Linked DNA regions of Astyanax mexicanus. The protein of the gene in region 1 binds, or shares a complex with, the protein of each later gene. Links are inferred from orthologs where the notes say so. Each region holds a gene or a part of one and is shown in the gene's direction. Other genes may lie near its edges. The genes, in order: snrpf, prpf31, snrpe and scnm1.

Region 1 (6,891 bases):
CATTGTGGGTGCAAACCTGATTCCAAATTACGTATAAAACTCATAAACTCATAAGATAAAAAGTAACTTCACTGTTGGTTCTATATATTCCATATACTGTTACTGTCCAATAAAAACAAGTATCTCCAAAACAGCAACTTTTCAGAAAAGAGGTGAAACCATCTTAACTTTTAATATGGAAGTCAATGTAAAAAGAGGTTTTTTTTGGTAATTTTGGAGATTTTCTATTTGTGCATACATCAAGGAATGTTGACATATAAGGGAAATAAGGGAAAATTTGTGTGTCCAAATTATGTAGTAAACTAAAAATCTACAGAAATCAAGACAATTGTTTTTTTTTTGCACAGCAACATACTGTTAGTTCTTAAATATAATATGCAGATACTGAAATTGTTTTCCTTATAAATAAATAAAAGTCAAATCAAATTACATTTCGAATACACAGTCAAACATACTTCAAAAAACTAGCATTAATATGAACATAAGGGTATTAGAGGGTAATAAAATATCTTTTTTTTAAGATTTTGGACTCAAGAGGCTGTGAATCAACATGTCTTTGTGGCCCAGTGGCCTAATGGATAAGGCATCAGCCTCCGGAGCTGGGGATTGTGGGTTCGAGTCCCACCTGGGTCGATGTTTAGGTTCCACATAGGAGTGAACAGTTCTAGGAGCTGGCCATTGTGGGTTTGAGTCCCACCTGGGTCGATGTTTAGGTTCCACATAGGAGTGAACAGTTCTAGACTTTGGCCCTTGGACTATAGTCAAAACACACCAAACTTAACTCCTCAGTTAATTACCAGGCAAAGTCAGTGGTTTTAAGTAGGCCAGCAACCAAACTCACTTTTAGATTTTTCATAAGTACTACCCCTGGAATGATTTCCAGTGTAATTATTTTTTTATTTTATTGCTGCTCCCACTCATAAACATTTTGGGTAAATACTTCTGTGTTGTGATTGATGTTTCAATAAACCTCAATTTTAATTTATCCTTTTATCCCGTTTACCCTAGGGTGCAGGACTGTAAAGAGTATAAGGTAAGAGCATAAGGGAAAAAAATAATTACTTGACAGGGTTTGGCACTCTAGAGGCTGTTAATTACCAAGACATTGTGGCCCGGTGACCTAATGAATAAGGCATCAGCCTCCGGAGCTGGGGATTGTGGGTTCGAGTCCCACCTGGGTCGTTGTTTAGGTTCCCAACAGGGGTGCACAGTTCCAGACCAGAGCACACCTGATTTAACTCCTCAGTGAATTACCAGGCAAAGTAGGTGGCTTTAAGTAGGTCAACTGCCAAACTCACTTTAAGATTCATCATAAGTAATACCCATGCAATGATATGTGTATTTTTTATAATTTATCTTCTATATGTTCTTTCTGTAAAACAGACGATTAAACAGTTCATTGTATAATTGCTCCCACTCATAAACATTTTGGTTAAATACTTATGTTTTGAGATTTTTTTGTTTCAATAAACCTCAATTTCAATGTATATTTTGCCTGTTTACCCTAAGGGTGCAGAAAAGAGTATATGGTAATGGAATAAGGGTAATAAAAATAGTTTGGCATGGGTTTTGCACTCAAGAGGCTGTGAATCAACATGTGTTTGTGGCCCAGTGGCCTAACGGATAAGGCATCAGCCTCTTGAGACACTTTTGGGGTTTCTGGACGCAGCCATGCAATGATTTCCAGTGTAAGTAATTTTATAGTGTATCTCCTAAATGTCCCTTCTGTAAAACAGAACGTTAAACAGTTCGTTGTTTATTTGTATAGTTGTTCCCACTCAAAAATATTTTGGGTAAATTTTTGCCTCTTTACCCTCAGGGTGCAGGACTATAATGAGTACAAGGTAAGGGCATAAGGGTAATGAATAATTTTTAACAGGTTTTTGCACTCAAGAGGCTGTGAATCAACATGTGTTTGTGGCCCAGTGGCCTAATGGATAAGGCATCAGCCTCCGGAGCTGGAAATTGTGGGTTTGAATCCCATCTGGGTTGTTGTTTAAGTTACCACTGAGAAATGTGTTTGAAGGCCACGTATAAATGATAAATAACTACATGTTTAAGAAGGTGTCCCCTGTATAATTGTACTAGTAATCTGTGGAAACGATCAGGAAAATACATGGAAGGTCTAATGGGGCTGATCTTTTGTGTTTTTCCTGCTCTAACACATGTGACTCGACCAGTCAGGAATTGCATGTTTTAAAAGAGGAAAATACTTAAATGTTCATGAATGTGGTATTTTTGGTTTACCAATTTGAACAACTGGATAGGTATATGATTTAAGGTGGTGCTCCAACAAGTGTAAACAAGATTGAAATGTGCTGGGAATTACATTTAAGCCATTTAAATGTATGATTATAAATAATTTTCATATTCAAACATACATGATACAAGTAGCACTAAAATATCTTAATAACTGTCCCATTACATGAAACAATAAGATAAGATATTACATTATTTTCATAAAATAGTTGTTTGAAAAGGTTTTAGCCTTAAGGGGCAGTGAAACACACTGTGTTTGTGGCCCAGTGGCCTAATGGATAAGGCATCAGCCTCCGGAGCTGGGGATTGTGGGTTTGAGTCCCATCTGGGTCGTTGTTTAAGTTCCCAAAAGTAGTGCAGCTCTAGACCTGGAGGGTCACCCTCCAGTGTTCGGAAGGTGGACTACTCAAGCACACCTGATTCAACTCCTCACGTAATTACCAGGCTAAGTAGGTGGCTTTAGATTCTTCATAAGTACTACCCAGCATAATGCATCTCGTAAATGTCCCTACTGTAAAACCGTAAATTAAGCATTTTGTTATTTAGTCTTTATTTACTCACTTTGCCTTTGGGACTGAGTTTTAAAATAATAATAAAAATGTTGAACGGCGAATTCATTTTTTTGAATGGCAGTGCCATCTAAAGGCCAGAGCGGGTAATGCGGTTGAAGAGAACAACATTAGATAGATAGATAGATAGATAGATAGATAGATAGATAGATAGATAGATAGATAGATAGATAGATAGATAGATAGATAGATAGATAGATAGATAGATAGATAGATAGTACAAGCACCGTGAGAAACCTAAAACTATAGAAAATGCTAACTGAGGCTTGAAAAATAAACTATACCTTATAGGATATATACAAAATACTGCTGTATGTAAGTGTTAATAGTGTGCAGGAGTGGGAATGTACAGTAAAGTATTATATATTTTTATCTAATTTATTAATCTAAGAAAAAAACTCAGACGACTTTCCTCTCCCCCTGTCACCCATGTAAAATCCAATGTAATGTTTTCCCTCGTGCCCTGTCATGTGGCTCCGTTCACTGCAGATATACAGCTCTGGAAAAAAAAGAAACCACTTAAAAATGATGGGTTTCTTTGATTTTACCAAACTGAAAACCTTATAACAAGCCAAAGCTTATCAAACCGAGCTGAACTGCTTGAACTTTTTGCTCCAGGAGTGGCATAAAGTTATCTAAAAGCAGTGTGTAAGACTGGTGGAGAAGAATTATTCCACTTTAACTTTATGAATATGAACTTGTTTTCTTTGCATTATTTGAGTTCTGAAAGCTCTGCATCTTTTTTGTTATTTCAGCCATTTCTCATTTTTTGCAAATAAATGCTGTAAATTACGATAATTTATTTGGAATTTGGGAGAAATGTTGTCCGTAGTTTATAGAATAAAACAACAATGTTCATTTTACTGAAACATATACCTATAAATAGAAAAATCAGATAAACCGATTCTGAAACTGAAGAGGTCTCGTAATGTTTGTTCTAGAGCTGTATAATAAGTGAGTTATCTTTCACTCCTCTATACTCTGTACCGGGCGCCCCCTGTTGGTCGTGATGAAGTGTAGCCGCTGTAAAGCTCCTCCGGCGCGGCGCGGGGGCGCTGTGGTACGGGCGGCTCTATTGTTTGCGGGTCAGAGCTCGACTCTTCACTCGTGGTCCTTCCCTTTCCTGGCGGCAAGGCGTGCGAGTGAGCTTCTGAAACACAAGCGTCTGAATGAAACACTTTTGAAGGTTTTCCGAAGCCTGATATTTTTTGATTAAACATGGTGAGTACTCAGCGTGACCGCCTTTAACCACACGGTCGGGTTTAGTTTAAAACTGTGATTACAGTGATGAGGACCTGAGTGCTGTGGTTAGCTAGCATGCTAATGCTAACCGGTTGCTTTGACCCGCTGCAGCAGTTCATTCATTTAAAGTAAGTTAGTTTAAAGCGACTGAAGTAAAATACCATACAGATGAGACTTTCACTAGTTAATGCTGTGTTATGGGTGAACTGAATGTGGTTTAAGTCTGAAGTCTTTGCTTGTGTAACAATATATTCAGTTTGTAATAGTCTTAGCAAGTTAGCTTTAGCTAGCTGTGTAGCAGTAGCTAACTTACGTTAGAGAAACGTAGTGTTCGTGAATGAACTTTAGCGAAGCTAGTGTTAGCGTTAGCTAGCTACTACAGCTTGCTCAGTCTGCTGGAGTAAAGCCCCACTATGTTTATTAACTATAGACTGAACCGCTGTACTCCCCTTCTGTTCCACAGAGTTTACCGCTGAACCCGAAGCCGTTCCTGAACGGTCTGACCGGAAAGCCCGTGATGGTGAAGCTGAAGTGGGGTATGGAGTACAAGGGTTACCTGGTATCAGTGGATGGATACATGAACATGCAGGTAACGTTATTCTAAATACACTTTACCCTGGTCCATAACTGATGTACAGTAATTTAGAGAATAATTGTCTAGCTATACAATATCTCCAGCATGTTTTTGTTACCCTTCTTGGTGTAGGATTATTTTGGAGTTTGTGTTAGTGATTCGAAATTCCGACTCTTTTTAGCTAGAGAATCGGTTCTTTTGGTTCGGCTCACTAAAAAGAGCCGGTGTTTTGACGAGTTGTGCTACCATGTGAAACCGCGCTACCGCGGTGTATATTTAACGTATTTAAAAATACGAGAAAAAACGCCATATTTGAAAATTCTCGCGGCAGAAGTCTCGGTAGGATTTGGAAAGCCTGATTCTATATATTATGATACAGTTCAGGGAAGCGGGGTGAGTAGTTTTATTGCTTTTATTATGAACTGCCATTTACGTAATTATTTACATTTGTAACACTGAATCTTCACCCGCTAATTTGTTATGTTGGGTAGTTGGGGCTCTTCTACTAGTAGAGGTGTGCCATATCGTTTCGCACGCGATAATACGATATTGTGAGCGATATTATACCCTGAAATATCGTGCCATATCACCCACCCCCAATTATCACATCAGGGTACTACTTTTATGCTGTTTTTAGCAAAAGAAAATTCACACTGTTCTCATTTTCCATTTTATTTCTAGTAGAGACAGATTATATCTGTCCAGTGTCATTTATTTTACTTTAATCCTGGATATATTGAGATGTGTAGAACGCATTATTAGTACCGTGACATTCTGGATCATTGACTTCTGTTACAAATCTGAGTAATTTCTGGTATTTTTTAAAATCTCAGTTAAGGGTGTGCCATATCATATCACGTGCAATAAGAAAATTTAATATTTATTTTGGTGCATTAGTGTATTCTTGAAATCATTTTTTAAATTCAGTATTTCGTTATATCGCCAAGAGTATCGTTATCGCGAAAATACCATGAAATACTGTGATATTATTTTAGGGCCATATGGTGATATGGCCCTAAAATAATATCACAGTATTTCATGGTATTTTTTTTTTATTCACCCCTATAGTAGAGCATTATTCACCCTCACAATGTTGTGGTAGTGGGTGAAATAAGTGTCTCTGCTGGTGAGCAGCAAATCTAGCAAAGCAAACTTCAGGCATCAAACATGTCTTGGCTGTTCAACTATGGTTACCATAATGGAAGTATTGAGTAAATTTGAGTGTCTACAGTTTACATTGTTCTCTTAATTTGACTCTTAAATCTTAAGTTTGTTTACTTATTGTGTGCCAGGAGTTGACAGTATGCTTTAGAGGTTGGCAATAAGATTCTTATCATACTTTTTTCCTACAGTATTTTTTTTTAAACCTATTTGAGTATGCCTTCAATTCTTTAAGAACACTGATTGTACATTTGATTAGAGTGTATTTCGCTTTACTTCAGAGTAAAAAAAAACATCTTACGTATTTATAATGACTTCAAGGGCATAATTGTGACAGTTAAAAAGTGCTTAGTTTAGTAGATAAACATTACAATTATTCAACATATTTCTATTTTTGTCTTTAGTTGGCAAACACAGAGGAGTATGTGGATGGAGCTTTAGCAGGTCACCTTGGCGAGGTGCTTGTCAGGTGAGTGGCTGTACTGATGATATTGCTGCATAGTGCATATACAATATAACCACTGTAGTGCATTTGTTCGCTACAACAGTCAATCAATGTGGAAAATGTATCTCTTATTCTTAAGTTGATTGTGCATTTCTTTAACCTCAACCTGTTTTATGTTAATTGTTTGCTAGATAGCAATTTGGCCTGAGCCAATCCATTGTTTTGGTTCTGTTTCCAAAAACAAATTATTGTGAAATGTATAATGAATAGAACTGTGTCAGATGTACCAGGAACAGAGATATAAGATCTGTACTAATTAATTATCTGTAAACTGGGGAGAGAATGTAAATTAACTAATTGTTTTCTTGTCCTTCACAGGTGTAACAATGTTTTGTATATAAGAGGTGTAGAAGAGGAGGAAGAAGATGGGGAGATGAGGGAATGAGGAGTATGCTTACAGTTAAAGATGTATAATTTAGTTTTAGTTGTATGTGAAACATTGTTTTTTTTTCTCCCCCTTTTGTAATTCATGTGTTAAAATGTTTTGTACACTATAGAAGCATAATTATGATGGCACAAGTGTGCAAATAAAATTATGCATTTTGTATTTGCTTGTGTTCCAAATTTATTTCAAGATGTAT
Region 2 (7,098 bases), on another chromosome or scaffold:
ATTCTGGGACAGGACTGACCACAGAATTGGTCGCAGACGGGGAGTTTCGAATGGAAGTGATCCTGAAGAAGATGAGGAGGAAGAGCAAGAGGATGAGTCATCCAGAAAAGTTATTGTCATCACGGAAACAGATGTTCACAAGCGAGTAGGCCTGAGGAGCTTGCTAAAATCGCCCAAGGAACCCTTGGACAAAGAGAATCGTGATCACGGAAGAAATGTGTCCTTTTTTGATGATGTCACTGTCTATCTTTTCGATCAGGTACCGGTCACACATTTAACTTTGTGTAGAGACTAAAATGTGTCTAATATTCTAAAAGAACTGCCTTTAAATCATGTTCTTTGTCCAGAGAGAGGAGAAATGTTGTTAATGTAATTTTCTTGTTGCAGTAAGGCAGATGTTTACACTTGATTTGTTCTTTACTAATTAACTTATCTTGTAGGAAACTCCAACTAATGAGCTGAGTTCTGGCTCTGCACCCACAAGCCCGTCTCCCCTTGGAAAGCCTGCTCACTTCGATGGACTTGGTGAGGGCTTTCACATTTAGCTGCATAAAGCTAATGCAGAATTTACATAAACATATTAAATTAAATACATTGCAGAAAACTGAGAAGACCATTATTTTACATCATCATGTTGTGAACCATGAATATTCATTCAAAATGTTTGCTTGCTGATTAGATGAATACAGAATTTACATAACTTACTTTTAAATATTTTTTTAAGCATTTTACATCAATATGTACTAAATTATGTGCATTCCTTCAAATATGTTTGTCCACTGGTTAGAGAACTGCTGCCTTTTCACAACGAATGCTTGAATATAAAACCACTTCTTTTAAGTGCCAGACTGTCTGACTGTGAGTTTGAGTTGCATTATTTATTTGATTAATTTTTCACAAATCAGCACTAAATTTAGATGCTCTCATTTCACAGCCCCTCTTGGAGTGAAAAGCAGTTCAAAGCTCTGCTCAAGTCTATTTCAGGAGTACTGGATCCTGAAATCCTGAGCTTTTATATAACAAGAGATGAGTAGGAGAAGTATAGTGCTGTTGACCCTTTGATGTGGTTTAATCTGAGTTAATTAATCAGCTTCACACTGTGTAATCTAATGTTTGCATTTTAGATCAAATTAGCTAAAGCCTTTAATCTGATAAAATGCACTTCTTAAAGCTAAATATGGAAAATTATGTCTTTATTTATATAACTTTGGTAAAGTGGGCAGGACAACTGTTGTGAGAAATGACTAACACACTTCATTTACTTCTTTCACCCTTGATATTGGTTTTATAGACAAAACAAGACAACCATATTAGTGCTAAAAGAAAATGTAATTTTTTTAAGCCATCGTTGCACATTTTGTATTTAAAACAGTGGTGTAAATGTGAAGTTACTGCAGCAAGCTTGCACTAGTGAGTTCAAGCGCTCATGGAAGTTGTAGTTAGTTAATCTTAGTAATTTATTCATGAGACATTATAACTACATGATGTGTGCAGTATTGAATAATACTTCCTTACTGCCTAAGGCATCTACTTGTGGTAGGTGTAGTCCATCAAGTAATTTAGATGTTGGGATTGGGCCTCAGTAGGCCACAAAATACAAAATGCCCCAAAAGTTAGATTTAGAAGTAACCTGTATAACTTGTGAGATTTATAAACAGACCTCTTGGAGTCCATCTTAGAAATCCCAAGTCTAAGGCAGTATTTCTCAATTAAAAAAAATGAAGAAATGTTCAAAAAATTGCACCCTATGGTAAGCAAACCTGTTTCAAATCCAGTATTTGTTCTATGTACATTTGTCTCTTAATAATTCCCAGACCTACGAGATTGTTAAGGAATCTTAATTTTAACATCCTTGCTAAAAGCAGACCAACACACAGCACTAAGTAATAAATTGCATGTAATCATTTAAATAGTTTATCTTTAACATTATTTTAAAACAACACCAGCAACTCTTTTTAAAACTTTTTTTTACTACTGTCAATGCAAGTCAACTACAACATTTAACAGAGCTTTGATTTGGTTTAGGGTATTTTGGTGAGGTCAGTCCAAAATCAACAATATCCATATTTTAACAGTCTCATAATTCATCCACTACTAGCGTACATGATTCCTTATGTATTTCTTTAAAGTCTGTATCACTTCAGTATTCAGGAAAAAAATAATAAAAACATTGAATGAGAAGGCTTGTAGAAAAATGCAAAATATTTTTATGTTTTTTTTTATTATAAAAAAAAAGTGCTGTGGGACATTAAACTTAGCTTAATGCTTTATCTTTTTAATCACATGTATGTTTTTTCTGCTAGGAAGCAGCAATCACAAGACCAGCAAGAACAAAGACCACATAAAGCCAAGGTCTCCCACAGGTGTCAGTTCAGTCCCACCATCACGCTTCACCGTCAGCCCTGCCAACGACCCACATTTGGTGTGACCCACTATTCCTTCCTATACACCTGGAGAAAATGTAGCTCTCTGGAGTGACAGAGTTTCTCTGTGGTCATCGTGAAGCACGGTGGCTTCTGGAGGTTATTTTTTTAAATCAGGCTAAAGACTCCTGTTTTCAAGGCTGGAGGTGTTCCAGGTTTTACTTTGCTGCGGGAGCAGGTCCGTCCTGTGCAAAGCAGGAACCTCTACAGCCACGCAGCCGGGAGCTATGTAAAATCTGAAATGGAGTTTACGGCTATGCAACGGGAGTCTTATTGTGTACCAGCTTAACTGCTCTATTTTCATGGCTTCTTGAAGTACATTTGTATTCTGATCCTCTTCCACACAAGAGGAAGCACTTTCTTTGACCAGTACCTGTCTATTTGTGAGCTCGAATAGAAATATTGCCATTGTAAATTTGTTCTCATTGCAGTCAAACATCCTCGTAGGCTTGAGAGGGAAATCCCACCCTCCCTATCTAACAGTGCAGTGCTCTTTTAGTATTTGTACAAATGGATAGTGAATTTACTGTACAAACTCCATTTTAAAACCATTTATTTTAGATGTATTGTTAGAACGCACGACACAAAATGAACCTGCTACCTACTGTTATGTTTTATACTGTATTTTTTATTGCAAATTGTTGTTTGTTTCTGTATTTCTGTTTACTTCATTGTGTATTTAATTATTTATTTATTTATTTACTGTACGACTGCAACAATTGCACAATTACTTTGCTTTAATTGTTTTTGGATGCTGTGCATTGTTGAAATAAGTTGCTTCATCCATCTCATTAAATAAAACCAGATATTTCCATAAGTATAAATGCTTTGAAATATTTTATATCATTTACCGATTTCTAGATGTTAGTCTGTATCTATTTGTCATTTACTGTGTCTGTTTATAAATGTTATTTTTAACTGTGTATTTGACATGTTCTCGTCATTACTTACATTCAAAGCAATTACTGTTGCTAAGCATGGAGGAAAAATGAAGGCAGTGCACATGTCCATGAATTGATCTGTTTATTCAACTTTAATTTGATGATCAGTGATTGGTGTCGAAGGTGAATCAGAACATTTGTAACGTCGCTTTCAGCATCTGTTTCATTGCGAGGTTTCTTGAGGAGGTTCTGGGTAACCAGGAGTGGTAAAAAACAAAGACAAAAAAATAAAACAAAACGAATAAAACTAAATCACATGGAGACTGTGAAACATTTAATGAATTGTTTGATGAAAATAAATTGTACTGGCTTATAATAAATACCCTGCTGTATTGAAATTTTTGAGAAATATTTAAAATTTCCAAACAACTTTAATTTCATGTAATTTATTTAAAATAATTGATTAAAAAAATATAATAAAGCTTGATTGATATGGGCGCAAATTATTGAAATTTTAATTTAAAGCTGTGAATTGTGTTTTGTCAGAGCTGGTTTACGCTTCCTCAGATATAGCTCTGAAAAAAAAGAGTCCACTTTGACCAAATATTAAACTTTTTGCATTATTTGAGGTCTGAAAGCTCTGCTTTTTTGTAATTTCAGCCATTTCTCGTTTTCTACAAATAAAAAAGTGGTCTCTTATTTTTTTTTTTTTCAGAACTGTATGCCTTTTGTCTCAGTGAAACTACATTTCCCACAAGGCTTTGCGATCTACTGCGCTATTAACGACGCGTTTAACGTGCGACCGTTACGACGAGACTGCGTTGTTTGTGAATGGTTTTGGTTAGTTTCGCTCGTTTTTAAACAAACTGTATTTTGTTTGTAGTCTGTTACCCGTGCCGTGTTCCGTTGTGAAGGGTAGGAACGCGTTTATAAGGTAAGTAGTAATGAGTTTAGTCCTCTTTTAGAGCTTACTGAATGAAATTATAGCGAATAGTTCAGTCCGGTTCAGTCGTTAGTTACTTAGGCGTGCTTAGTTTACTGATAATAAAGTATTTTAAACTGTTATTTCTGTTAGAAACTATCACTGTAACTGCTTGCATTACCAGAACTTAAAGTGTGTGGGTTAGCACTAAGCATGCTAAAAAGTACTTTTAAATCATGTAGTTAAGCTAATCTACTGTGTTTTAGTCTCTTTTTAGAGTAAAGGAATTCTGTTGTACTTGCTTGTAGCTTACTAGCTCTCTTCAGTTCCAATTTCACATGTATTTAGTTTAATGATGTGTGAATGAACAGATAAAGACTGAGTTTACCATTCTCATATCTCCATGTTCTAAACAGAGTGGTCAGGTAGGCTCTAAGACCTTTTTGCTGTTTAACATTTTTTAAAAACATTTTCTTCAGTTTTTGTTATTGAGAAATACTGCCTTAGACCTGGGATTTTTAAGATGGACTTCAACAGCACAACAAACATCCTCAAGAGGTCTGTTTATAAATCTCACAAGTTATACAGGTTACTTCTGAATCCAACCTTTGGGGCATCAGCATCCTTAGCTGCACTATATTTGTTTGGGTAACCAGCAAAAGCTGTTACAGCCAGAAAAAAAGGTCTAGGGACCTACCAGACCACTCTGTTTTTAGAATTAATGTAGGCCTATGTGACCTATATTTGAAGAAGTGGTAACCAAAGCACACTGGTGCCATTTATTTTTCTGTCTTTTTTTCTAATGTTTATCCAAATTTTGTCCCAGTTTACACAGTTAATTACCCAACCCACTCATTAGGACCCCTATCATAATGCCCCAACATCAGGAGGATGTAGATTAGCACATGCCTCTTCAAATACATGCCTGCCAATGCAGCATTGCCCTGTAGCCAGTGCACTCGAAGGAAAGCACATCGACCCGGTTCGGATACATCAGCTCACAGAATTAGCTTTTATTTGTAATTAAATTAAGCTGTTTACTTTAGAAGGTGATTTGTATCCATATATAACCTTTTTCTTGGTACAAAGTTAAAGTTCCTTTATTTATCTCCCAAGGAAGAAATTTTGCTTAGACACAGGGCATGCTGCAATACAACAGACAGACAAACCTAGACAGCAACATGTGACCAGAAGCCATAACATTGCTGTACATCGATGACTTGGTGTATTACATTTTGTACTTCTACAGAACCCCACAAGCCCCATACAACAAGGGTATACTTAGACCTCAATGTTATTTAGCTGCTCTGTGGTACAAAATGGTGTTTGTACCTGTTATTCCTGCACAGGGGAACCTTGTATCTCCTACATGAATTCATGAGCTGATACTCAGGATACAGCGCATGTGTGTTATCAGATATAATATTTGCTTCTGGTATTTAAGGATTTATATCGAACAGAAGTGAATCATTTAGTTTTCCCACCCTCTATTAACACTCTCCAGCCCGTAAAGCTGTGGCTGCAGTAGATGCAGGCTTACTTAAAATGGACAAAACATATAGACTGGTATGATATATCTTGAGGTCTGCTATGAACAGAATCTGGCACAATATTTTGAATGCATAGACCTGACCCGCCTTGTTTCAGCAGTTCTGACACAAGACACATTGCTGTGGCCCCTGGAGATCAGTAAGAGTTGAGGGCCCAACATTGGCGGACCGCCTAACTCTGGTATCAAACCCAAACCCTTTTCCTCAATGGTCCAGTGCTTTAACAGCTGATCTACCACTGCCCACAAAGGTAGAGGTGGTGTAATGATATTTTCTAAGCAGTGGTTTGAGTATTTTTGATTTGTGTACATTCCTGTAAGATCATAATTAGATTATATTACTATTTCCAGGATGATAATTTATTATGTCAGAAAGTAAATGTAGCAATGAGAATAATACAAATGAGCAGTGCAGCGTGTTTTTCCAGACTGGTCAGAATTCCTTAAAAAATATGCTCATAAGTTTTCTCCTTTAACTTCTTTCAAAAGCATAAAAAAGCTTTGCTGATTGGAGCATACTGAGCAAAAGACTAAATAGGTGTCTAAATAATTTAAGAGACCCAGCTGATAACAGATATTACAAATTGACTCCTAATAATGCCTTTCTTCGCAGATGTCTTTAGCGGACGAGCTGCTGGCAGATTTGGAGGAAGCAGGAGATGAAGGTGAAGATGGACTGTATCCAGGAGGGGAAGGCGAGGAGAGTGATGGCGAAGACAGAGAGAGAGAGGACAATGGAGGCCTGGAAGACATACCAGAGGAGATGGAACTGGACTACAGTGGGGCAGAAAGCGTGTCGTCCATCGCAAAGTTACGAAACAGCAAATCAGTCAGTACCCCAATGAGTAACTCAATCACTGTTCATAACACCTGCTCACTTTCTCTGTCTCTAAACTGTGCTTCTTGTTTTGGCAGTTTTCTGAAATCATGGAGAAGATTTCTCAGTATGTAGGGAATCCACGCAATAACACAGATGGTAAGAAGCAACCTCCTGGAATTAGGTTGGTGGTCCACGTGGAGGTGTACCCTGAATAGCAGCACTCATTTATTGATCTTTTCCCACTTACAGTATCCGGCCCTGTGGAAGCAGACCCCGAGTACCGGCTCATTGTTGCTGCCAACAACCTGACTGTGGAAATCGATAACGAATTGAGTGAGTTTGGTTTAGTCATTTTTCTTCTTATGCTTTACATACGTTTTTAGTTTTATTGTTTGGATTGTGTGTTAAGGAGGATTAGGGGTGTCACGATTCTCTAAATCCTCTACTCGATTGTATTTCCAATTTTAGGGTCACGATTCGATTGATTTGGTTCTCTTTTTTCT
Region 3 (7,615 bases), on another chromosome or scaffold:
ATGCTCCTCACTGTCTGATCTTTGCGACTATTTCAAGTAACAGTTATTATTGAGCCAGTGAGCTTTTAAGACCATTCAGTGCCATCGATTGTTCGGAAATGTGCAATATAACCTTAAAATTGAGAAAAGAAATAATCACACAAATACAGCAAGGCTATCAACTATGCAATAGTAGTGTTGCAAGTTTTAAACACTGATAACGAAGGCAATGTTTGACATTTTGGTTTGAATAAAAGGCTCACTCCTCATTAGGCAATAAACTCAATTGCTACATATCAAAAATAAAAAGGTGTTGTTGCAATACTGTGCTGATAATACACACCAAAACGTAATGCTCAAGAATGTCAAAAACCCAGTGTTGACCAAGAGTTGTAATTAATACTGAAAAGTTGGGGGTTTTGGGTTAAAACACATTGTGAGGTAGAAAACGGCACCAAGCTGAGACACACAACTGTGAATTAGTTTGGGTTTGGGTTCAGGTGAGAACATATACCGAGTGGCAGTGGGAGGGCACAGTAAAGGTGATCCAAAGCGAACTGTTACACTTCGCCGAAGTTGGTGTGACCCGTCTCCTTGGCATGCTCTCTCGCCTCCTTTTGTCCCACCAGGCCGGTCTGGCACACCATGCAGCGCAGCGCGAAGCGGTTGACGTCCGTGTACTGCCGCTTGCTCCTTGCCTCGTCAGCCAGCTCCAGGGCCTGCGCGAGGATGATGTCGTCGGTAGTGGAGAAGACAGTCTGCGGTGGGATGTCCGAGCCAGGCGTTGCCCTCTGCAGCGGGTCGTAGTGGATTCCGTCGTAAATAAGCAAGACACGTTTCTGGTAGCCAGCATCCTCGCCAAATCGGTCCACACGAACAGTTTGCGTGTCCACGACACAGATTTCGCACTGGTAAAACTTGGACAGGATGGAGACCTCAATAGCACCCCCCCACGTGTCATCACGCCGGATCCAGGTGCAGTATTCGTCGTTGCTTTTGCCCAGTACTGCCTCTGAATAGGCAGCTGCGTCACTGGCCACGATCTGGGCGATAAGGCCGCGCATCTCGGGTGCGCAGGCTGGATCATACACACCCCCCTCCACCACGTAGTTCACACTCGTAAAGAGGCAGGAGTTGTCAGCAGGAACCACTCGGCGCTCCAGAACAGGAGAAGAATTTAGGCATGGGACTTTTGTTAGAGCAGCATTAGTCTGGACTTTTGGTTTGTTCTTTTCTTCTTCTACAATCAGAGTGTCTCCTGTAAGAGAGGTTATGAAGGGAAAGCGGGGAGACAAAAAAAACATTTTTGTAAATGTTCTTTCCAATAACCAAAGATATAGGTAGCAATGTGAACAAATACCAAAAACTATGCAATTCGGTGTGAAATGGACTTGAAACGTGACGACCAGCATTGCAAAATACAGCGTTTTTAGCCAATGCTCCCCAAACAGGCTTATGCATGTTAATGCACGTTAGAAGCTTTGATGAGTGCTCATGCAAATATCGTTTTAAGTTTTCCTAAACTCCTAACGAGCCACAACAGAGCTCCATACAGTTTAACCCCAAATTAGTGTGCTTTTTTTGTTGTGTCTGTCCCAATTTTTCAAAGTGTATACTTTACTAACATTGCCAAATAGTAAGTGAAAAACATCCTGCAACCTTCCCGCTTCTTCCTGCTTGTTAAAGAAAAAATATAAATACATAGTTATATGTTATTTTATGAAATAAATATTTATAGAAAATTCACTGAATTAACAAAAATTGTGCTACATCATAATATAAATTATCAGAATATCAGAATATCCAAATATATATGATATTTAGATATGAATATGGATTTTTTTTTTCTGGTTATATTGCACAGCCCTACTGGGTAAAGTCAATTCATGTTTAAAAATCAACAAAATAAAAACCTCACCTGATTTTATAGGGTAGTCTTTTAGGTGAGCATCTCCATTGCGAAGATCCAAGCTGGATGGTGGGTAGCCCACCATGATCTTCTGAACGTCGCATGGAATTCCAGTTAGCTCCTCTACCTTGGTTTTCAGCTCTTGGACACAGGACTGGTGCGTGAGGCCTTGCATCAGATGGGTTCCATTCTTGGCCTTGCACCTCAGTCGCAGCATCCTGAGTCCCTTCAGTTCTGCTTCGGAACAAACAAACTCAAAGATGTAGTATTACTTTTACTTGCTTTGGCTTCTTGGACATCTTTGTTGTCGTGTTCACAACTGGTTAAACTGTCAGTTCACAAATAAAGAAAACGTGATCCTTCTTTAAAATATTACGAAAAATTTATAAAAGACGAATCACAATGTCAGATATCGTTATTTACAGGAGATCCTAGACCTTGCCTCCTTTCAGACGTAAATATGAACAAAATTGAAATATATGCGTAAATTTGACCATGTTTTAATAACAATTTTACCTTTTAAGGAGCACCTATTTTTGTGGGTGTTTTCGCAATGGATTTCTCACACATGCTTCATCAGATCACAATAAAGCTGCTATTTGAATAGGTAGTGCACTATATGATCCTTTGAAACAAGTACTTTTACACTTTTCCTTGAGTAAAAAACTTGAGTTGTTACTTTAACTTCTACAAAAGTATTTTTAAACCACTATATCTATACCTCAACCTGAATAATGAATGTGAATACTTTTGACACCTTTGGTTAAGGCATTCCTGAGTAAATAATTTAATTCCTGAAAGGATATAGTGTGATTTTGGGGACCTAAATAAACCAAGCTGCTGACCACTGCCTCAGAACCAAACAAAAGGGAAATAAACAAAAGACACCTGGTTGTAATTGTCCACAAACAGTCGGTGAGGTAGCTGCCTGCCTAAAACAGACAGTCAGGTAGGTAAGTAGCTGACTGTGCTAAAACTGATGCAACAGCTTGGCAAACCCCTAAAAGTGTATCCAAATTTTGCTACATACTGTTAACCTGCTTGTAATGCTTTAGCTTCATTTATAATAATGTTGCACTGGGTATTGTAAGCTAATAATAGTTAGTAGCTTAGCTAACGTTAGCTAGCTAGGAAAGCTGCGTTAAACCACATAACCCAACCCAGCATATAGCTATCTTACAATAACCTAGAATATTTGCTAGTTAACTAGATTTAAACTCTAATAAAGCAGCCTTGTAACTCCCTTTACCCAAATTAATAAGAACTGTATTTTAGCTCAGCAATGTAACGTTGCATTAACGTTAGCCAGTCAGCTAATCTACCAAACCTAGCTTAGCTATGCTGGTCTTAATTCAGCATAATAGACAACTAGCTTATCTTAGTTTAGCAAGCTAACAGTTATCTTAGCAGCATCTCAGCGTCAATATTAAATGAACTTTTGCATTATTTAATCAAATACCGCCCTAGTTAACATCGCAAATCTGTCCCCAACAGAACCGTGCTCATATACGGTGGCTTTTAACCGTTAATTCGCTTAAATTGTCTGTATATCGTAGCGTTTCTCACCTCGGAGCGCCTTCCAAATAACAACACACTGGCCAACAACTGACATGCGCACTGCGTCACACCGCGTGCACAAAACAGTGCAGACGCAAGCAGTTGTTGAGCTCATGTCATCTTTCCACGTATGTCTGTGTTTATTTTTATGTATCAAGTTTTATTACATTAACTAAGTTACACGTTTTATGTATTTACATAAAAAACATAGCTTGTTATTTTAAATATAAAATAACTGCAATATTTAGAATAAGAAAATATCTTTTAACATTTTCACATTTTGCCACCTTACAACACAAAATTGTATTTGTAATGTAGTTGTATTTTATTGCGATTTTAAGTGATAGAGCAACATATAGTCTATAATATATATATATATATATATATATATATATATATATATATATATATATATATATATACACACACACACAAAAAAAAAACTATTAATTGGATTTCTGCATAAATTGGACAATAAATGTGTACTGATTTTCAAGTCACAACAATAAGCAAACACAGTCTGCTAACACTAGTGATGGGTCTGACGACCCTGAAACCTCGACACATGCGCCGAGCTGTCAAGGCGAAACCCCGTGTCGGTGCGCGTATCAAGTTAAGGAAAACCACGTGACCGATACACTTACTGTATCGTTTGGTAGCGATGGGTCTGACGACACTGAAACTTCAGCGCATGCACCGAGCAAACAAGGCGAACCCCTGTGTCAGACCGCGTATCATTTTAAGGAAAACCATGTGACCGATGCATTTCTTCGCGCAGTTGCTTGCAATGACTTTCTTAGTCCAGCAGATGTCGCCATTAAGTGATACAGCAACACAGTTTCAACACAGTGTCGATACAGTTTGGGAAATGTGCCATACACCCAATGAGGCTTCATCTGCCCATCACTATTGGTGAATATAAATCACGCGTCGCACAACAGAGCTCTCAGAAAAAAAAAATGTCATAAATCCATAGATAATTTTAAGTTCAATTTTATATGAATCCCTCTTCTTTTCTTAGTTTGAACTGTGTTTGTAAAATCAAAAAGAACAAAGAGAGAAGCGGTAGTAAAGGTAGTAGTTTCTGAGCGCAGGCAGCGTCTCAGGGCCGGTCTCTGTGTGGTTAGTCCTCCTGGTCGCTGCGCGGCGCTGTAGTAAAAATCAGCCCCAGGCAGCTCTCTCCGCGCTTCCCCCCGCCATCGCTGCTACACCAACGTGAGGAGATCGTTCCCCGGCGAGTTGTATTCTCCAGTTATTACAGTTATAATATTTATATTACAGCAGCAGCTCCAGCCCCGCGGATCAGCAGCATGGCGTACAGAGGACAGGGCCAGAAGGTGCAGAAGGTGATGGTGCAGCCCATCGTATCCTTTACTACTGAAACTGATTCACTGCTGGAGCTCCACTCCATTCATTTAGCTTTAGCTTTAGCGCTAGCTCTAGCTTAGCCTCTACTCACTTCTGTAATGTTACCTGCGTTAGATAACCTATCTAGCTTATCTTATTATATCGGACTACTCTAACTGCTATATTACTCGCGGTGGGTTAAATTACTGCAGATAGAATGTGTTTGGGGGAGTTTATAAAGAGTGCACTGATTCAATAACTCTGCTAACATTAGTTACATATAAGTTACGGGGTTAGTGTTGGGGCTGTACTCATATATATATGTATTTCTATCTGTATATCTGCATATCTGTATATCTATTTATGTGTATATCTGTCTATTTATCTGTATATTTATCTATCTGTATATCCATCCATCTATCCGTAATTTTGAGCATAGGGCAGGTTCTTGTTTGAGTTTGATAGTTTAGCTAGTTGGACTACAAGCAAGATAAAACTTACCAAGCTAATCTAGGCAATGGGGCTGAGCAATACGGATCAATTGTTAAATGGCGATATAATATACATATGTAAATTCCAAAAGGTAATTTGCATAGGTCATGCAGTAAAATGCATATAAATAGTATAGCATATAATAAATTAGAATATGTTGTGGTATTAAATGTTGTAGAGCAGTGTGTGTGTGGAAATAATCAGGTGGACTAGTTCGATATTTAATGAGAATGGCTTTGCTAAATTGTGATTTTTGCCTGTGCTAGTTGTTTGTCCTTGACTTCTGTCTACAGAATCTGATTTTCAGGTATCTACAGAATGTAAGTGCAGCTTTTTTATGGTTATTATTAATGGTCTTGTATGTGGGTACACAATAAGATAACAATGTGAATAATAAAATAAAGTGCAGACAATTTATTCTCATTTTATGACTGCACCGTATTTAATGGTTATATTGTGTATCACAATTGTGGTTCTAAGTTTGTGCTGTTGTTAATAATCTTTTTGTCCTCTTTTCTGCAGCGATCTCGTATCTCGGTTTGGCTCTATGAGCAGGTCAACATGCGGATAGAAGGCTGCATTATTGTAAGTAATTATTTACTGACCTAACTAATCAGAGAACACTATATTTGTACTTTGCAATAACATGCTTTCGCATTGCAAGCAGTAGCCACACCGCTATAGGCTGACCCTCATGGGTTAGTTGTTTCCCCAGCACCAGGACAGTTTGGCGCTGATGAAGACCACTGTGGAATGCGTTGCGTTTTCACACCCATAACCATACCTTTGCCATGCTACTGCTTACCACAGCAGAAAATGCATTGTAGTCCAAACATGGGCAAGTGAGTAATATTGACGATTAATACAGTTAGTTACACTCATATAAAAATATCAGGAAAAAGATAAGAATCAATGCTTTTTTTCTGACGTTAAGACAGATGTGTGTCTACAGATGCTGTAGCTACACCACACATCAAAACACTTGTAGATGTGACTCATTTTTAAAAACACTGGCCTGTTATCATCAGGCAACCCTTGGCATCAGCAGTAGCACAACACAACCACAATTGGCTAGCTTCCAGCAAAGCAGAAAGCAATGTGGCATACCGATGGCGATGTGAAAGCTCCTTAAGCCCACCTGACCAAATAGACTATGTAATGTTTTCTCCTTGTTTGCTTTGTGTATCTTATCAGTTCCACCCAGCAAGTAAGAGCAATTTGTAGTTCTATAAGTACAGACTGTAGTTCTGCATCTGTTTCTGCATACTTTATTATTATCCTTATTTTACCCTGTTCTTCAAAACTCAGGACCCCTCAAGGCCACCACATTTCAGTGGTGGGTCATTTATTTTCAGCACTGCAGTGACTGTGGTTTAGCATAACAAATGTGTTTGGGATGTTGGTATGTGTTCTGCTGGTGTTGGTACAAGTAGATCCGACACAGCAGTGCTGCTGGAGTTTTTAAACACCTCTGTGTCATTGCTGGCGTTAGAGTATTCCACCAACTAGAAATATATCCAGTCAAGTGTCTTGCTCTAAGGTGGTCCTGTTGGCTTCTGACTATTGAAGAACAGGATGAATGGATGCTAATAATGTATGCAGAGGAACAGATGTGACTAGAGTGTGTATGTATAGCTTTCAGTACAGACTAATGTCTGTTTGTATTTAACCTGTGAAATGTATTTTTTGGGGGGTGTATTGGATTCGTTAATGGCCTCTGTTGTATGTTTGTTTTAATGATGTTATTTTATCAGTGCTATTTCTGTTTTTATCTTCTGCTGTAGGGGTTTGATGAGTACATGAACTTGGTTCTGGATGATGCAGAAGAAGTCCACATGAAGACCAAGAACAGAAAGACTCTGGGTAAGGAGTAGGGATAGGACTATGTCAATGTATTTGGCACTATTTATGAAGCTAACAATGTCTAACTTTGTTTAAGATGGACAGTTATTTTAAAATAGTGCAGTTGTGGGGTCCAGTTTTTTTTTCTTTCTTTAATTTGAAGCAGCTGGCAGAGGTGAAGTCAGTTCTTACACAGGAGCATTTTCATACAATAACTAATGCCTTCATTACATCGCAGCTGGATTACTGTAATGTACTTTATTTTGGGGTCAGTCAGTCCTCCCTCAAACGCCTCCAGTTAGTGCAACATGCTGCTGCCCTAATTTTAACAGGATCATGGAAGGGAGAGTGAATAACTCCCATTCTGCCCTCCCTCCACTAGCTGCCTGTAATTCAAACTGATTCTTTTATTATTATTTTTTTTTAATCTTTAAATGGATTCACCCCACCTTACTTTGTTGAGTTACTCCATCCTCACGTTCCTGCATG
Region 4 (7,409 bases), on another chromosome or scaffold:
CACATGTGGGGGGCACATGGAAAGAGGAGACAAAAAAAAGATTTTTAAATCTGCTCCATTAATTGAAAGTAAATCTTGCATGGATTTTTGTGTTCAACACATTCTCATATTCATACACATGCACTGTATATCAGTTTTATATTTTTTCCTTGGGAACCAAATAAATTATGCATAAAAATACTAACAAATCCAAAGGTCTTTGGGCACACTGCATTTATTCATCATCAGCTGTGTGTTTTATTGGTACTGCTAGATTTTTATATTTCTGCATGGTATTACATTGTTAACAATGTAAGCACAGCGCACACAACCACATACATTCTACAAAGTATTCATCTAGAGCAATTCCCTTTGGCAATTAATCAATGGGTCATGAGATCTTGAAAACCTGAATGTTGCTCTGACTCTACTTGGTGGCATTCCTGTTTATGGCCATTCTCACAAATCTTACACAAACAAAAAAAGTCAAGTTTGAATTGGCTACAGCTTGTTAAAACTGCAAACACCAAATAAATAAAACACTGAACTGAAATCGATAAGAAATTAGGACACTAGTTAATGTAACGGCTTCAGTGATTAGCAATCTGTTAAATCCCTACAATAATGAGAGAACAGAGGGCACAGGGCACAGTGTTTCTTATTGTATACCTGCAGATCACTGCTCAGTTACAATTACAAAAAAATGGCAAGAACTAAAACTATGGATTTTGACAATGGCAGCATTTTACAAAGCAGGATTTCTCAGAGGGCTTAGTTTGCTCATTTCCACTGGACAGCAGAAACTTTTGGCTTACTTTTATCCAACTGAAAAATCCTTCTTTGTGAAATAAAACCCTGGCAGTCTCGCAGCTACGTGACAAAAACAAATCAACAAAACAAAATCTGTATCACATACCTTTAGTAAATAGAACATGAAATGTGCCTAGGAAATTAGGGAAGATGAAATGTTTTCATGTTTGGGCATTTTTCCCCATATGTATATATGAATATGCAGCTTATATAAGTATTTCTAACGGTCGAATCATTGACTAAAATCACATTTGCATACCACTTAGCTACTTGCAGCAAACGGTCATGTCTCAACAGTGTGACTAAACCTGCTCAATCGGTTAATGCCAAGTTAATTTGAGGAATTCTGCTTTGTAAACATAACTATCATCTTTTTTGTGAGGTAGTGTTTCTAACAGTCATTAAGCAAGCCATGTCTGATTTCTTGGAGGACTAAAAGACAGAAGTCATGGGACAGAAAATGCAGAGGAAGTAGTACTGTACAGTTTGTTTTGTGATGCAGCCAATAGTAGGCAACAGGCCAGAGTGCAAACATGACCTAAGGCCACAGCAGCACATTTAGTACAGTAGCAGAGCACATCACTCCCACAACACAATCAATCAGTCATCAAGTGCACAGATGCTGGTAGTCTGAATATCAAACACACAGCACCACTAGCTCAAAGGCATGAAATCAGACATCCTCAATTCATGCTTCAACTTGAAGGTTTTTTTTGCATACTTAAATACTTGACACAAGCCAGAGAGATCTTCTAAGCAGCCAGTGTCAGAGCTGAAAAATCTCATCCTCTTTGTCTCTTAGTTTCTTGGTACGTTTGGTGATTGTGAGAGGTACAGCCCCCAGCACTGCCTGTTGACCTTGGAAAGAAGCACTGGAGACATGAGTGCTGGGAAGCTGTTTCATTGATGAAAACCTTGAAAAAAATGTAAAGAACTAAATTAAAGTTCAACTTCCATACCCATTAATAAGACATTTGCTTCCTAGATATGAATGATGGACTGCAGAATAATATTTTGCAGAAATAACAGTGAAAAATTAAATTATTGTAATTTTAGTCCTTATTTTATGTCACTGATATAATGCTATTATAATAGCATAACAATGTATGTAAACATAACTTTATATTTTAACAATATAAGATTATATACTAAAGCAATTACTGCAAATACTCACTGTTTATCTCCTTCTTGACATGTTTTCACAGCTGCTTGTTTAGACTGATTAATCAGACTATCCATCCTTTTCAAGTAGTCCGATGGAGAAAGATCTGAAGTCACTTCTTGGCTTTCACAGTCAGCTTGGCCGTTTCCAGCGGAAACCTGCTGAAGTGACTTTCTCTCTTCTTGATTTGACACTTCATTAAGTAGCTCATTCTCATTAGCAAAGGATATTGACTCCGTCAGTACTGGGATGAAGAGGACCTTCTTCAGGAATATTGAATCGTTGGTGTACAGTCTGTTTGCCCTTTTGATTTGTTCCATCTACAAGAGGTCAAAAACAGATGCATTTAAATAGGCACAAGCTACTTAAACACAGGTGTATGAAGCAGCACCCGGGTCTTAGTAATAATGTGAACAGTACGATTATTAAATATTTACATAGTAGATAATGTAAAAAGTGTTTGTATTAAGTTTGTCATGTTCTTTTAGTCCACTAGTTATTATATTTTAAGACCATTTTAAGAACAATACCTAGATTTAAATGATTGAGAAAAATATTGAGATACAGTGTTTATGCTAGAAGGTGACAATATTGGTAATGTACATTCTTAAAACTGCATTTCATTTTGACAATTTAGGAACTAGAATCTTTCTTTTACTTACTTACACCTAAATATTAGATTTGTTTAAATACAACTGCAATCTAAAATCTAATTCTTATTTACCCTCATGACCAAACTTTAATTTAAACACAAAGAATAAAAGATTTTGATTATGGCTTATTATTGCTTAGCTACAACACTCATGTATAAATCCCTGGCTCGTCATCGACAGTTTCAGCGATATTTTACTAGCAAATAAGATGTTCCCAGTCATTAGGGCATACTACAATGTAAAATTGTGAATTAAGGGATGGATTTAGCCTGCCTGTCTTGCCAATGCTACGCAAATAGTTACTTTTTTTTTGAATATGGATAAAAGCAATACTACGTTTTACAACTTTTAGAGTAGAGCACTTTTATAAACGCACTTACAGACACGCCATACTTCAGGGACAATCCTTGTAGAGTGTCTCCTGGTTGAACCTTGTGTTCAATGCGTTTCTGTCTGACTGGTGACAGGGACGAAGTCACCAGACTGCCATAAGACTTGGTGCGCTGACCGCGTAGGAGCCCGTGTGATCCAGTGAGTGAAGATGTCCGGTCCGAGGACATGACGACTTTACTAGTTTACTGAGGATGATGATGATGATGATGATGATGATGATCCGTTTGGGGCTGAGAATTTTAGTAAGCAAGACAATAGGATGGCTGCTACATCTCGAGTAATACTGTAGATAAATAGCTAGTTATAACGTTATAGCTTGGTTAGGTTCACTAGGTAATTCAGCAATAAACAGTATAGTAATGAAACAGCTCACTGCCAAACAAGTTTTCTTTTCCAGATTGGACAGTTTCTTGTCCAACAACATAGTTAGCTATAGAGTTCATCCATCTAAACAGAGATAACAAGCTAGCTAACGCGAACTAACTACGTAATTTCTACAACTTTAACGTTAGCTCCATCATCAGATAAAGTTACACTAACGTTAACTAGCTAGCTCCACTTTACTGCTGAATATAAACCTCTAGCCTTCAATACAAAGAGGTTAACCCACTTAGCTACAAAAATAGAAAAAACGAGATAGGGTTAACTTACATGATTTATGCTAGAGGGGGGAAACTGCATTTCATTTTGACAATTTAGCAACCAACGTTACAATCTCACTTTTACTCACTGTTTACACACATACATATTAGATTTTAACCCACAACTAGCTAACTAAATAAATAACTTACACTGTCTGTAGCTAGTTTAGGATAGCAAGTAACTTATTAGGATAGTAGCTAAGTTACACAATAACTTAACTTACCCGTGTTAACCGGCCCATCCTGTAGACCACAACATGACTAGCTAGCTCTTCAGTTAAAAAAAACTGCGTTAGCTATCTGCCCACTTTAGGAAACATTTTAGCTCCAGCGAAGTTAACTTAATGCGTACTGCCAAATCTAGCTAGCTCAACATTAACTTAAACTGCGTAGCAGGATATACGACAGATTAGACAGTTAGCTAGCTAGCTAACTAGCGTAGCTAGTAAAATACGACATACCGACTCACCACTACGCTACGAAAAAGTTAGTTAGCTTGCTTGCTAGCTACGAGATAACGGACTTACTTATTAAGTTAGCGTAGCTAAACGCGGCTCAGTCTCTAAAATAGTTAGGTAAAGTTACGGCTAGCTAGCTAGTTGTACCAGAGCACGGAGCCCAGACTGTGGTGTTGGCGGTGTGACCGCGCCGCTAATTATAGTGAGCTGCACTGTAGTTATGTGTCTGTAATGGACTAGCTTCCATTAGCCTAATGCGCTCGCTAAGCTAATCTGGCGTTGCCATGGTTCCGCCCAGCGAGTCCCACAATGAAAACAGGAAGTCAGGCAGTCGGTGTGAGTGAGAAGTCCGCAGCACCTCGGTTAGCTAAGATAAGCTTAGCTCACTAACTCACAGTTTAATAAAACAATATGTCCTTCAAAAGAGAAGGCGATGACCAGAGCCAGCTAAATGTCCTAAAGGTAACGTAAACAACCTTAAGCCCCGTATGCTTTAAAGAGAACCGTGAGATGCGGTAGATGCTTTAAACGATTTGTTTAAGTGCAGGTTTGGCTAGTAGCTAGCTAGCTTTAAAGTTTGTGAAAGCACACAAATCCTGGCTTTAGCATGTTTAATATATTTAATAATTTGTGCTTATAGAAACGGCGTGTTGCAGATTTACTCTCCAACTTCATACCCGAAGACGAGGCCACTCTGATGAAGAATGGAAGGTGGTGTATGAATAAATATGCAGGTTGTAGCTAGCGTTAGCAAACCTACCGGATGTAGAATCAGAGTTAGCTAGCGTAGCCACTAAAGTCCCTGCACGCTTCTGTCATTTTTGTATTAACTATTGCCTGAAGTGAATTGTGGGGTTTTAAAGCTATATTTTGCGTTTTTGAGTTGCCAAAAGCATTTTACATGTGTGGCAGTTTACATAGCAAGGATTATGCCTAGTCTTCGACCACACAACAATTTAAATTGAGATGTTCCATAGAAAGGAAACTTAAAATAATAGTCTACAATTAGACCTAAATTATCCCAGATATGGATTAGGTCACCTAATCCATATCTGGGATACTGCTTCTTAGTGATGTGGATTTCATTAAGAGTGAAATTTAGTCGTTTTTCACATTAGCGTTAATCATTGTTCCTGTTCAAGCAACGTTTGGTAGTTAGTGTGTGCAGAAATAGGTGCAATTTTGCTATGTGACCAAATACATGTTGAATTAGGTCTATATTATTTTAAACCAAATGACAAATTAATGTAATGTCTAATTTATTTAATCAATTAGTATATAAATATACTCCTTGAATGTGCTATGTGCTACAACAGCATTTTTCATCAGTGTTGTGTTTTTCCTGTTGTGCACATTGTTTCAGAAGCCATTGCCCAGCACAGCTTTAGATTATGGGTTTTACAAAAATACCTTTATTGTGGATTATTTTCCTTGAATTTCTGGCCTGCCACCAAGCAACTCCCACTGGGGCAAAATGAAGCTTTGTACTTATAATATTCATATGTCTACACTTTAAACAATATGTATGGTATATGTGGTTGATATACTCTTCAGATGAGTAAGATCATCTTTGTATATGTGTAGTAATTTATTGACATTCTTTTGGATTTGATAGGTATAGCTGTTTAGTCTGTTCACATCGTCCAGTGTTTGATACTGTGGATATGCTGAGTGTACACAGGAAAGGAAAGCGCCATCTTGAAGGTGGGAATTTGTGTTATTATTGAGTTGTCTTTAAAAAAGTATTGAGGACATTTACAGTGCTTTGTTGTGCTTTCTTTTAATTAAACTAAAATTAAACTTCTCACACATTATTCATTGCTGTTCAAACACCAAGAATAGTGGTTGGATTTTGCTTAATTTAGCTTCACAAGGTCTTGGTGGATTTTACCTTATGCATGAATTTAACTTAATGAAATAAGTGCATCTGGCATTGTCTTGTTGAAATGTGTATTTTGTTGTTTTTTCGTCAAGTCTGTATTAGATCACTGTTGGGTTCTTTTCTTTTCTTCTTGGGTCTTCTACTGTCTAGGTCTAAAATGGTTTTATGGCAAAAAATCGCGATTACAGAACGAAATTGATAAAAGGCGACATCAGGAATATGTTAATAAGGAAGACGACCAGCAGGTAAAAAATAGCATGTTTGTTCAACTTACAATAATGGTACCCACCTTTTGCAAAATGTACAGTGTTGTAGATAGAACCATTAGAATTTCATAAACCATGTTTATTGGTTTAGGAAGCTGGAAGCTCAGCACCTTTACTCACACAGACACGGAAAATTACCCACCATGCCTTACTAAGATCTTCTCCTTACAGCAGCTGCCATAAAAAGGCCAGGTAATGATAAATACATTTCTATTTTGATATTAGAAACTCATTGCTATTTTTTTATTGTATGTTGTATTTTACATGATTATTATGTCAATTTAATATTATGCAACTTACACAATATATGACACTACATTTGACATTATATCAGTCATAATAAATGATATATATATATGTACTGTGTCTATATCTATAAGGGCTGCACAATGTAAAAAAAAAAAAAAAAGGCATTACAATAGATTTTTTTTTTACAATATATATTGCAGTGTTAAAAATGTTGAAATTTTCAGTAGAACACCAAACAGATCCTTATTTTAACAACTCACTCCATATTTGGAGTAGGATATATAAGTGTGTTCAGATTCTTTTAACAATTATTTGTATAATGTATTTATTTATCATAATATAATGGTTTTTAATTGTTTTAAGTGAAAGATCAGAGAACGTTACATCAAAAAGCTGTCTTCCAGAGAGCTACATATCTACTGCAACAAGCAGCATAAACACAGAACACAAACCTGCTGGAGAAAGTAAGTTACTATTATTTTACTATTATTATACAACTGTTATTTAGTTTTTGTTTGTTTGCTTGCATTTCTAGGATGCATCAGATGTTATTTTGATGCAGATGTATGCAGTTTATTTATAGAATGACTTTATTGTCCCCTTAAGCAAATCCGGATCAGTGCCAGAGTGGAAAACAGATGAATAAAAAGAAGGGCTGTAAGGCTCCCAGTGTACCCGAGTCAGAACCTCTGACTGAGCAGAGGCGCAGAGAACTAGAACACTACCTCAAATTAAAGAGGTATGACATTGTTTAGCCATTTCAGCACAGAGTTTTTGGCAGCCCATAATGGCTTTACTATGTGAGTAGTCAAATGAATTTGGCCTCAATAGGCAATACTTTAAATGTTAAGATTAAAATGCTTAATTCTAATGTTAATATCTATACCAATACATTGGTATGGTGCATTATGTGTTG

The links.
Region 2: snrpf (region 1) and prpf31 share a complex: the UniProt entries of both Homo sapiens proteins name them as parts of the U4/U6-U5 tri-snRNP complex. The link is inferred for Astyanax mexicanus from reciprocal best matches to the Homo sapiens genes SNRPF and PRPF31.
Region 3: snrpf (region 1) and snrpe share a complex: the UniProt entries of both Homo sapiens proteins name them as parts of the U7 snRNP complex. The link is inferred for Astyanax mexicanus from reciprocal best matches to the Homo sapiens genes SNRPF and SNRPE.
Region 4: snrpf (region 1) and scnm1 share a complex: the UniProt entries of both Homo sapiens proteins name them as parts of the minor spliceosome. The link is inferred for Astyanax mexicanus from reciprocal best matches to the Homo sapiens genes SNRPF and SCNM1.

What each region holds. Positions count from the first base shown.
Region 1 is NC_064415.1:29,819,678-29,826,568, forward strand, and holds snrpf (small nuclear ribonucleoprotein F), read left to right. Parts: upstream 1-3,882; 5' UTR 3,883-4,046; coding exon 4,047-4,049; intron 4,050-4,533; coding exon 4,534-4,659; intron 4,660-6,209; coding exon 6,210-6,274; intron 6,275-6,628; coding exon 6,629-6,695; 3' UTR 6,696-6,857; downstream 6,858-6,891. UniProt on the Homo sapiens protein: Plays a role in pre-mRNA splicing as a core component of the spliceosomal U1, U2, U4 and U5 small nuclear ribonucleoproteins (snRNPs), the building blocks of the spliceosome.
Region 2 is NC_064413.1:29,852,327-29,859,424, reverse strand, and holds the start of prpf31 (U4/U6 small nuclear ribonucleoprotein Prp31), read left to right. Parts: upstream 1-4,097; 5' UTR 4,098-4,238; intron 4,239-6,388; coding exon 6,389-6,604; intron 6,605-6,690; coding exon 6,691-6,751; intron 6,752-6,844; coding exon 6,845-6,928; intron 6,929-7,098. Other genes in the region: uncharacterized protein lmtk3, read left to right, coding at 1-259, 441-525, 2,304-2,428. UniProt on the Homo sapiens protein: Involved in pre-mRNA splicing as component of the spliceosome. Required for the assembly of the U4/U5/U6 tri-snRNP complex, one of the building blocks of the spliceosome.
Region 3 is NC_064431.1:7,027,297-7,034,911, reverse strand, and holds the start of snrpe (small nuclear ribonucleoprotein E), read left to right. Parts: upstream 1-4,613; 5' UTR 4,614-4,755; coding exon 4,756-4,809; intron 4,810-5,577; coding exon 5,578-5,604; intron 5,605-5,806; coding exon 5,807-5,869; intron 5,870-7,068; coding exon 7,069-7,147; intron 7,148-7,615. Other genes in the region: yod1 (ubiquitin thioesterase OTU1), read right to left, coding at 540-1,237, 1,898-2,125, 3,455-3,560. UniProt on the Homo sapiens protein: Plays a role in pre-mRNA splicing as a core component of the spliceosomal U1, U2, U4 and U5 small nuclear ribonucleoproteins (snRNPs), the building blocks of the spliceosome.
Region 4 is NC_064413.1:39,899,320-39,906,728, forward strand, and holds the start of scnm1 (sodium channel modifier 1), read left to right. Parts: upstream 1-4,389; 5' UTR 4,390-4,507; coding exon 4,508-4,558; intron 4,559-4,736; coding exon 4,737-4,807; intron 4,808-5,711; coding exon 5,712-5,800; intron 5,801-6,128; coding exon 6,129-6,223; intron 6,224-6,335; coding exon 6,336-6,436; intron 6,437-6,856; coding exon 6,857-6,957; intron 6,958-7,099; coding exon 7,100-7,232; intron 7,233-7,409. Other genes in the region: lysmd1 (lysM and putative peptidoglycan-binding domain-containing protein 1), read right to left, coding at 1,556-1,703, 1,964-2,271, 2,985-3,164. UniProt on the Homo sapiens protein: As a component of the minor spliceosome, involved in the splicing of U12-type introns in pre-mRNAs. Plays a role in the regulation of primary cilia length and Hedgehog signaling.